2 linked regions of the Sus scrofa genome follow. The protein of the gene in region 1 purifies or fractionates together with the protein of each later gene. This does not show direct contact. Links are inferred from orthologs where the notes say so. Each region holds a gene or a part of one and is shown in the gene's direction. Other genes may lie near its edges.

Evidence for each region.
Region 2: the proteins of KCMF1 (region 1) and ACOT9 purify together in Homo sapiens (affinity purification with mass spectrometry; 3 studies listed by BioGRID and IntAct, with this or other methods). This does not show direct contact. The link is inferred for Sus scrofa from reciprocal best matches to the Homo sapiens genes KCMF1 and ACOT9.

What each region holds. Positions count from the first base shown.
Region 1 is NC_010445.4:59,652,938-59,656,437, reverse strand, and holds part of KCMF1 (E3 ubiquitin-protein ligase KCMF1), read left to right. Parts: intron 1-2,352; coding exon 2,353-2,520; intron 2,521-3,500. UniProt on the Homo sapiens protein: E3 ubiquitin-protein ligase which accepts ubiquitin from an E2 ubiquitin-conjugating enzyme and then transfers it to targeted substrates, promoting their degradation by the proteasome.
Region 2 is NC_010461.5:19,859,262-19,863,532, reverse strand, and holds the start of ACOT9 (acyl-coenzyme A thioesterase 9, mitochondrial), read left to right. Parts: upstream 1-1,471; 5' UTR 1,472-1,599; coding exon 1,600-1,625; exon of another isoform or gene 1,626-1,926; coding exon of another isoform or gene 1,927-1,946; intron 1,947-4,271. UniProt on the Homo sapiens protein: Mitochondrial acyl-CoA thioesterase. Catalyzes the hydrolysis of acyl-CoAs into free fatty acids and coenzyme A (CoA), regulating their respective intracellular levels. Regulates both mitochondrial lipid and amino acid metabolism.

The sequences.
Region 1 (3,500 bases):
TTCCTCACTGATCTCTAATGACCTTTTACTATCATGAAACAGATTTCAATGTGGGGCTTTCTATTCTGTTCCTTTGGTCAGTTCATCTGTCTCTATGCCAAGACATTTTATCTTAATTACTGTAGCTTTGTATTAGTAGCTCTTGATTTGTTAAGCAGATCCCTCCATCTTGTTATTCTTTTTTTTTTTTTTTTTTTTTTTTTTTGCTTTTTAGGGCCGCACCCTCAGCACATGGAGGTTCCCAGACTAGGGGTCCAGTCAGAGCTACAGCTGCCAGCCTGCAACACCAGCTCCTTAATCTGCTGAGTGAGGCCAGGGATCGAACCCACAACTCATGGTTCCTAGTTGGATTCGTTTCCACTGTGCCACAATGGGAACTCCATCAAATGGCATTTTTTTTTTTTTTATTGTGGTAAAATATGCATGACCTAAAATCTGTCATTTTAATGCTTTTTACATGTACATTTTGGTGGCATTGGTACCTTTGCATTGTACAACTATTACCATTATCCATTTCCAGAATTTTTCATCATCGCAAACTGAAACCCAGTAAACAGTACCCCCCTTCCACCCACCTCTAGTAAACCACTCTTCTGCTTTGTTTTTTTTCTGTGAATTTGACTAGTCTAAGTACCTCATGTAAGTAGAATCATAAATGGGGCGTTTTAAAAAATATTTTTATCTCATTTGGAATGAAGAAACTAATTCTATTTAATTGGTTTTTTACTTTAAGCAACCTTGCTTAAAATGCTTTATTCTAAACACTTAGCTGTATTCAGGAGTTCCTATTGTGGTGCAGCGGAAACGAATCCAACTGGGAATCATAGAGTTTCGGGTTTGATCCCTGGCCTCACTCAGTGGGTTGAGGATCTGGCCTTGCCATGGGCTGTGGTGTAGGTCTCAGACGAAGCTCTGATCTGGCGTTGATGTGACTGGCCTAGGCCAGCAGCTGCAGCTCCAATTGGATCCTAGTCTGGGAACTTCCATATGCCACAAGTGTGGCCCTAAAAGGCAAAAAAAAAAAAAAAAAAAAAAAAAATAGCTGTATTGGGGTTTTCTATACAAATAAGTATGTCATATATGAATAAAAGGCTTTCCTACCATTAAACCTGCCCATTGAGATTTAAATTGTAATTAATTTTTTTCTTTTTACATTTAGACATTTGGTTCATTTTGTTTTCTTTCCTTTTATTCTGGGCTGCACCAGTGGCATTCAGAAGTCCCTGGGCCAGGGATCGAACCTGAGCCACAGCAGTGACAACTCTTGAGTCCTTAACTGCTAGGCCATCAGGGAACTCTTTGGCTCATTTTCATATCTGTTGGTTGCCTCTTTTTTTTCAAGCTCCTTTTAAATGTTAAGTATATTTGGTATTCAATTCTGATACAAACCTTTGCCAGTCTGATTCCACTCTCTGTTTCTGCTACTTCTTTCTGATGGTGTTTTTTTGTTGGTGGTGGTATCTCGTGTATGAACTCTTATTCCTTGGAATTTTGTTTCTGCCAGATGCTTGGCGGCAGTTCTAGTTCAGGATCACTTTAAGTTAAATTCTTGAAAGTTCCCTTGTGGTGCAGTGGGTTAAAGATCTGGTGTTGCCACAGCTGTGGCATAGGCCACAACTTCAACATGCTTTCACTTCCCTGATCTGGGAACTTCTGTATGCCGTGGCCAAAATAATAATAATAATAATAATAATAATAATAAAATAAATTCTTCACCAGAAACCATTTGGAAGTCTGAATTTAGGCTCTTTACTTATAACCACAAACCAGCCCAGACTTCTTATAAGTCTTTTGTTGTTTTTTGTTTTTTGTTGTTTCGTTTTTTTGTTGTTGTTTCGTACCTAGTGGGAGGAGAATTTCACAGGCGAGTTTTGTAATCCCTAAGGAGGATTTTTAGCTCACCTGTATACTGAGGGTATATTAGCGTCTAAGCTTTGTAAGGAATTGCCTATCAGACACCCCACCATGGTAGACATTGGTGTTTGCTTCCTATGCTTTGTTTTTCCTGTAATACTGTGAAAATCTAAGCTCAGATTTTTCCAGGTAGATGCCCACCTCCTTTAGTGATTCCAGTTACCTGTTCCTCTTTCACTTGGTTTTTTATCCTCTTCCTAGTTCATCAAGACATTTGAAAAGTTGTTCTACATTTTGTCAGACATGAAGTTATTTTCATTAGGAGTGTAAATCCAGTAATAAATCCACTATATTGTTGAAAGTTCCCATATCATTTTACTATGTTGTTTCTAGTCATTTTGGAAAGGAAATATGGGGTTAGAAGTGCAGCTTTATAAAAATGAAATGGAGAATGGCCTTTTATGACTGCTAATTAATACTATTTCTTTTTCCTTATAGGTGTCAGCTGTGATGCATGTTTAAAAGGAAATTTTCGAGGTCGCAGATATAAGTGCTTAATTTGCTACGATTACGATCTTTGTGCATCTTGTTATGAAAGTGGTGCAACAACAACAAGGCATACAACTGACCACCCAATGCAGTGCATATTAACAAGGGTAGATTTTGGTACGTATTTATTTAAAATTCTGAATTATCATTTAGAATTGTGTGTATGTGTGAAGAAGTAAAGGCACAGTATTCTAACTCATTCCCAGTAGCATATGTGAGGCACCAAATTCTCTAAAAATAACATGAATCTTACTTTCATATTCCAAGTAATTATTTATCTTAATCATAGTTTATTTATGAAAGCCATTTGGAAATAAATACAACTGGCAAAGTATGAAATAGAAGAGTGCCTCAGTAAAGAAGGAATAAAGCTTAAACTGATTGTTCTTGCTAACAGTACACAAGTATTATTGCTCTAGTTATCAGGAAGCAGGTTATTTCTGCTGTTGATGCACTGTCAGCTAATAAGAAAAGCTTTAAATATTACCATGCTGTAATTTCTTACTTAGCACTTGTTACTCTCTGTCTTTTTTCAATTTAGATACACCTGTGGCATGTGGAAGTTTCTGGGCCAGGGATCAACCCATGCTGCTGCAGTGACAGTGCCAGATCCTTAACCCACTGCACCACAATAGAACTCCTATTATCTGTCTTCTTTGATTTGATTATAGCCATCCTAGTGGGTGTGAAGTTGTGGTGTCTCATGTAGTTTTGATGCTTGGTCATATTGACCATCTTTCCCTGTGCTGATTAGTTATGTGTATAAATGTCTATTCAGATCCTCGGCCCATTTTTTAATGGGGCAATATATCTTTTATTATTGAGATTTCATTGTTCTTTGTATATTCTGTATACAAGTTCCTTACAGATGGATGGTTTGCAGAAATTTTCTCGCATTCTGTGGCTTATCTTTTCCCTTTCTTGATGGTATGTTTTGAAGCACAAAAGTTTTAATTTTGATGTTAATTTTGGGGGGGGGGTGTCGTATCTAGGAAACCATTACCTAATCCAAGATCATGAAGAATTAAAACTGTGTTTTCATGTAAGAGTTTTATAATTTTAGTATTTACATTTAGATTTTGATACATTTTGAATTA
Region 2 (4,271 bases), on another chromosome or scaffold:
AGATCCGAGCTGCATCTGCAACATACACTACAGCTCACAGCAACGACGGATCCTTAACCCACTGAGCAAGGGCAGGGATCGAACCCACAACCTCATGTTTCCTAGTGGGATTCATTAACCACTGAGCCACGACAGGAACTCCAGATGAGGGTTTTAGTATCTGCAAAACAAATCAAGGACATGGTTCAGGATAGTATCTATAGCTCTTTTTATTACCCCCTCGGGCGCACCTGTAGCATATGGAAGTTCCTGGGCCAAGGTCAAATCTGAGCCGGAGCTGCCACCTATGCCACAGCTGAAGCAAACACGGAATCAGTAACCCACCGCACCAGGCCAGGTATCGAACCTGTGCTGCCACAGAGAAAAGCCGGATCATTAACCCATTTTGCCCCAGCAGGAACTCCTATTTATATCTCTTGAGGAGGAACTAAAGATCCTTGCCTTTGCTTTATGGCTAAACTATTATTATTTGGTCTTGCTTGCTCGTCTTCCTTTGTTTCTGCATTTTCTCACTTCTATGATTAAATTTGCTCCTTGGTATTGGGGAAAGTCTAGGATGCTAAAGCTTTTCTATAAACCAGAGGCAGGGGAAACCGTGTGGGGTGGGGTAGGAACTGTCCCTGGTAAGGCACTATAGGGTCCTGCTCGGTTTCAGTATAGCTGCCACAAAGCAAAACAAAGTCATCACTGAAAAAGGTACAGACAGTATGAACAAAAAGCAAAGTGAGATTCCTGCAGGCCAAAAGGAGAGTCTTCTGGATGTGGGACTGATAAAAGAAGGGAAAGTTAGGTGAAGAGGAAAGAGGAAGCCAAAGATCATGTTTCATTTGTAATTCATGAAGTAATTTTTTTTAAAGCCAGCTTAATTAAAATTCACAATTTTTTTGTAAGCACGGTGTTATCAGAAAAAGCATATAATATCGACCCTGCCTTTTAGGAAATTACCATCTTCCAAGACGTGCATACATACTCTGGAAAGATCCCCTCTCATTACATTATTTTATTTCCTCTTTAGATGGCTTTATCACATTTGAAATTATAATTTGCTAAGGTAAGCCCCCTAACGGTAGAGAGTTTGTCAAATTTGTTGCATGTCCAGAATCTTCAGACAGCGTCCTGCGCACTGCAAACAGCTATTTGAATAAGAATTCGTTGAATGAAATGGAGAATCAGATCATAGGGTAAAATCATCTTAACTCTCTGGCCTTGAATCTCTCCGGGCGGCCCAAGATCTCCAGCTGTCAAACACTAGGGGGCAGACCGAGATTAGAAGAGGAACGTTTTTTCCTTTTCCGTCAGAAATTCTCAGCTTTTGCTTAGGGTAGCATCACCGAGGGCGCCTTTAGACATCCTGAAGACCAGGCCGCACCCCTGACTAAATCAGAATCTCCAGAGGGTGGGGCCCAGGCATTGGTATTTTGGAAAGCTGCCCATTAGATTCCTACGTGCAGCTAAGGGCGGACCTGAGGCCGAGGGGTGGGGGTTAAGGTCTTGTGACCTTCAGCGAAGCCGGAAAACGGTGACAAGCTTTTAAGGACGCGGTCGCACTTCGCCCCTACGTCACGGCCTGGCGGTGCTGCCCGGTGTATTTCATCAACCATGGAGGAGATGGGCCAGTCCCCGAGGTAGCAACATGCCCCGCGATGCTGACCACGGCGGGGAAGCAACAAAGATAAACTCAAGCTTCACGCTCTTGAGCCGGGAGGCAGGCGCAGCGTGGCCCCGCCCCCGAACGAGACCCCGCCCCGGGCAGCGTGGCCGTCCCTCCTCGCCCCCCCATCCCGCGGCCGGGCTGTAAGGGTGCGGTCCTGGGGAGCGAGGTCCGGTCTGGCGCGCGTGCTCTCTCTGTCTCTCCATCTCGAGCTCTCCATTGCCTCAGTTTCCCTCCACCGGCGCGCGGGGCCCAGGTCTCTCTGGCAGAGCGCAATGAGGCGGGCGGCGCTGCGGTAGGTCGCCGGGGGGGCTGGCGGGGAATGGACCGAGAGGCGCCCACGGCAGCCCTCCACGCTGCTAGCTGGCACCGACGGAAGGAGTGGGCCGCGGCGGGCGGGGCTCATGCTTGGGGCTTTGGGGCAGAAAATGGGGCCGGGTGGGGAAGGGCGCCAGCCCACCGCCTACCGGGACCCCGCTGGCTTGGGGAGGGCTACTGCGCTCCTCCCCTTGGCGCTTTGTAGCCCTGAGTTTGATATTAAAAGTGAAGCGGCGCTATAAGGGAGAAAGTTGGTGGTGTTCCCTGACATTTCTTTCTCCTTGCTCTTCGGGGTGTGGTTTAGGGTTAGCGCCTTGTCAGAAAGCTGGTATTTAGAGTTCCACATTACTTTTCCAGCCATCAACCCTCCTCTGGAGAACATTAAAGACTCTTGACCCACGCGGACTCTGACTAAAATGTGTTGTAATGTGGGCAGAGATTGTAGGGCACCTTTTGTGCTCTCAGGGCCTCAGGATTGTGTGCCCTTGGCGCTGACTTTACCCTTGATGAACAGAAAGGACCCTTAAGGCTAGGTGCGGGGAGTGGCTTTGTTTGGGCCCCTTGGACAAAAGAGGATGCTTTTTTCTTTTAAGTCTTTGCCCCAGCTTGCCAGGTGAAGGCCTAGGACTTTGAACTCGGGGCACGTCTTGCTCCCCCTCCCAAGGCCCCTTCATCTGATCACTCCAGCTGTTCCAAATTCTTTCTGTCTGGTTGAGTCCCAGGGGGCTCACCCCTGTTTCAGCTTCTGAATTCATCCCCGTACAGGTAAGCCAGCCCTCTTGGTGTGGCCCACAGTGGTTCCAACCAACAATGTCCCCCATCAGTTCTTTTGGGGGCCCTGGAGCTCTGAGCTCTCTAATTGTCCCTGTGCACCTAGCTGTCAGTTGAAAAAGGCTCCTCCTCCTCTCTCTCACTTACTTTGTTATACTTTTTTTTTTGTGTGTGTTTTAGGGCCGCACCCACAGCATATGGAAGTTCCCAGGCTAGGGGTCAAATTGGAGCTACAGCTGCGGGCCTCCGCCAAAGACAGAGCAATGCAGGATCTGAGCTGAGTCTGCGACCTACACCACAGCTCACAGCAAAGGTGGATACTTAAACCACTGAGCAAGGCCAGGGATGGAACCCGTGTCCTCATGGATTCTAGTCGGGTTGGTTACCGCTGAGCCACTATGGGAACTCCTACTTTGTTACACTATTTGAAGACAGGTTGAAGGTCATTGCAAGAAGGGCCACAGTTGGCTTCAGCTTGCATTGGACATGGCATGACAGGCTTCCACAAGCTCCAGGGGTTTTGACCATGTGCCTTCTCCCAGGAAACCTGTCTTGATTTCCTCTCCCTCAATTTGGAAGTCCTCTGTCTTTGCACTGAACTCCTGTCAGCCTGCCATTCCTTTTTTTGTGAGAACTGTTGAACCTTAAGAAGGTATTCCTTTAGTGTCTAGTGAGAGAAAGAGTACATAAATTAATACAGGCTAAGATGATTAGGTCATTCGACTGGTGGGCAGTCTTTGTAACTTTTTTCCCCCGGCTCACAAAAGAGTTACCTGAATTTTTTTAGTCTCTAAATTGAGGCATTTTCCCAGAGTGGTGGTCATATGAGTGGCATTGCCTGTTGTACTGAAAATTCTTCCCAGACACTCATTGTAAGCTTGGAATCTAGAACAGCTAAGACGCTTTTGTTCATATCTTCAGGTGACTTTTGTGACTCCGTTGGCTAGCCATGGAGAGGTTGGGCTCCTTGGTCTCCTTTTGAAATTGGAAAGGTTCAGTCATGGGGTCCTAGGACCTGACTGTCCTAAAGGCCTCTGGACAGTTTCTTCTAAACATCCAGAGGATTTGTTGTTGGTAAAACTCCTGAGGGCTTTTCAGGGAATAAGCCAGTAACCTTAAGGTCCTGAGGTGTTGGGCAGTGATTAAACCACTCTGCTCCCTCCACTTCAGTGTTTCCTAAATAAAGGGAAGTAGCCTGAGACTGAAAAGAGCAGCTACCCTGCACCTGTGTGCTTGTGTGTGCGTGTGTGTAAGTGTAAGGAGTGGGGGTTGGGGTCACAAGAACTGGGCTCTATCCATTGTGCCAGTTGACTGACAGTGGGAAAGTCATCTAATTCCTTTGGGCCTCAGTTTTTTCAGGAGTTTGGTCTGCCTCAGAATTTTTTAAATCTAGAGGCACATGGGGGTGTCAAAGGGGGTGATCTGTGAATCATCTGAAATAGTATATGCTGTTGGGTGTGTCAATAAAAAAAAATGTATCTATCTCCCACCAAACTACTGGCCATAAGGATCCACCATTTTCATCACATTT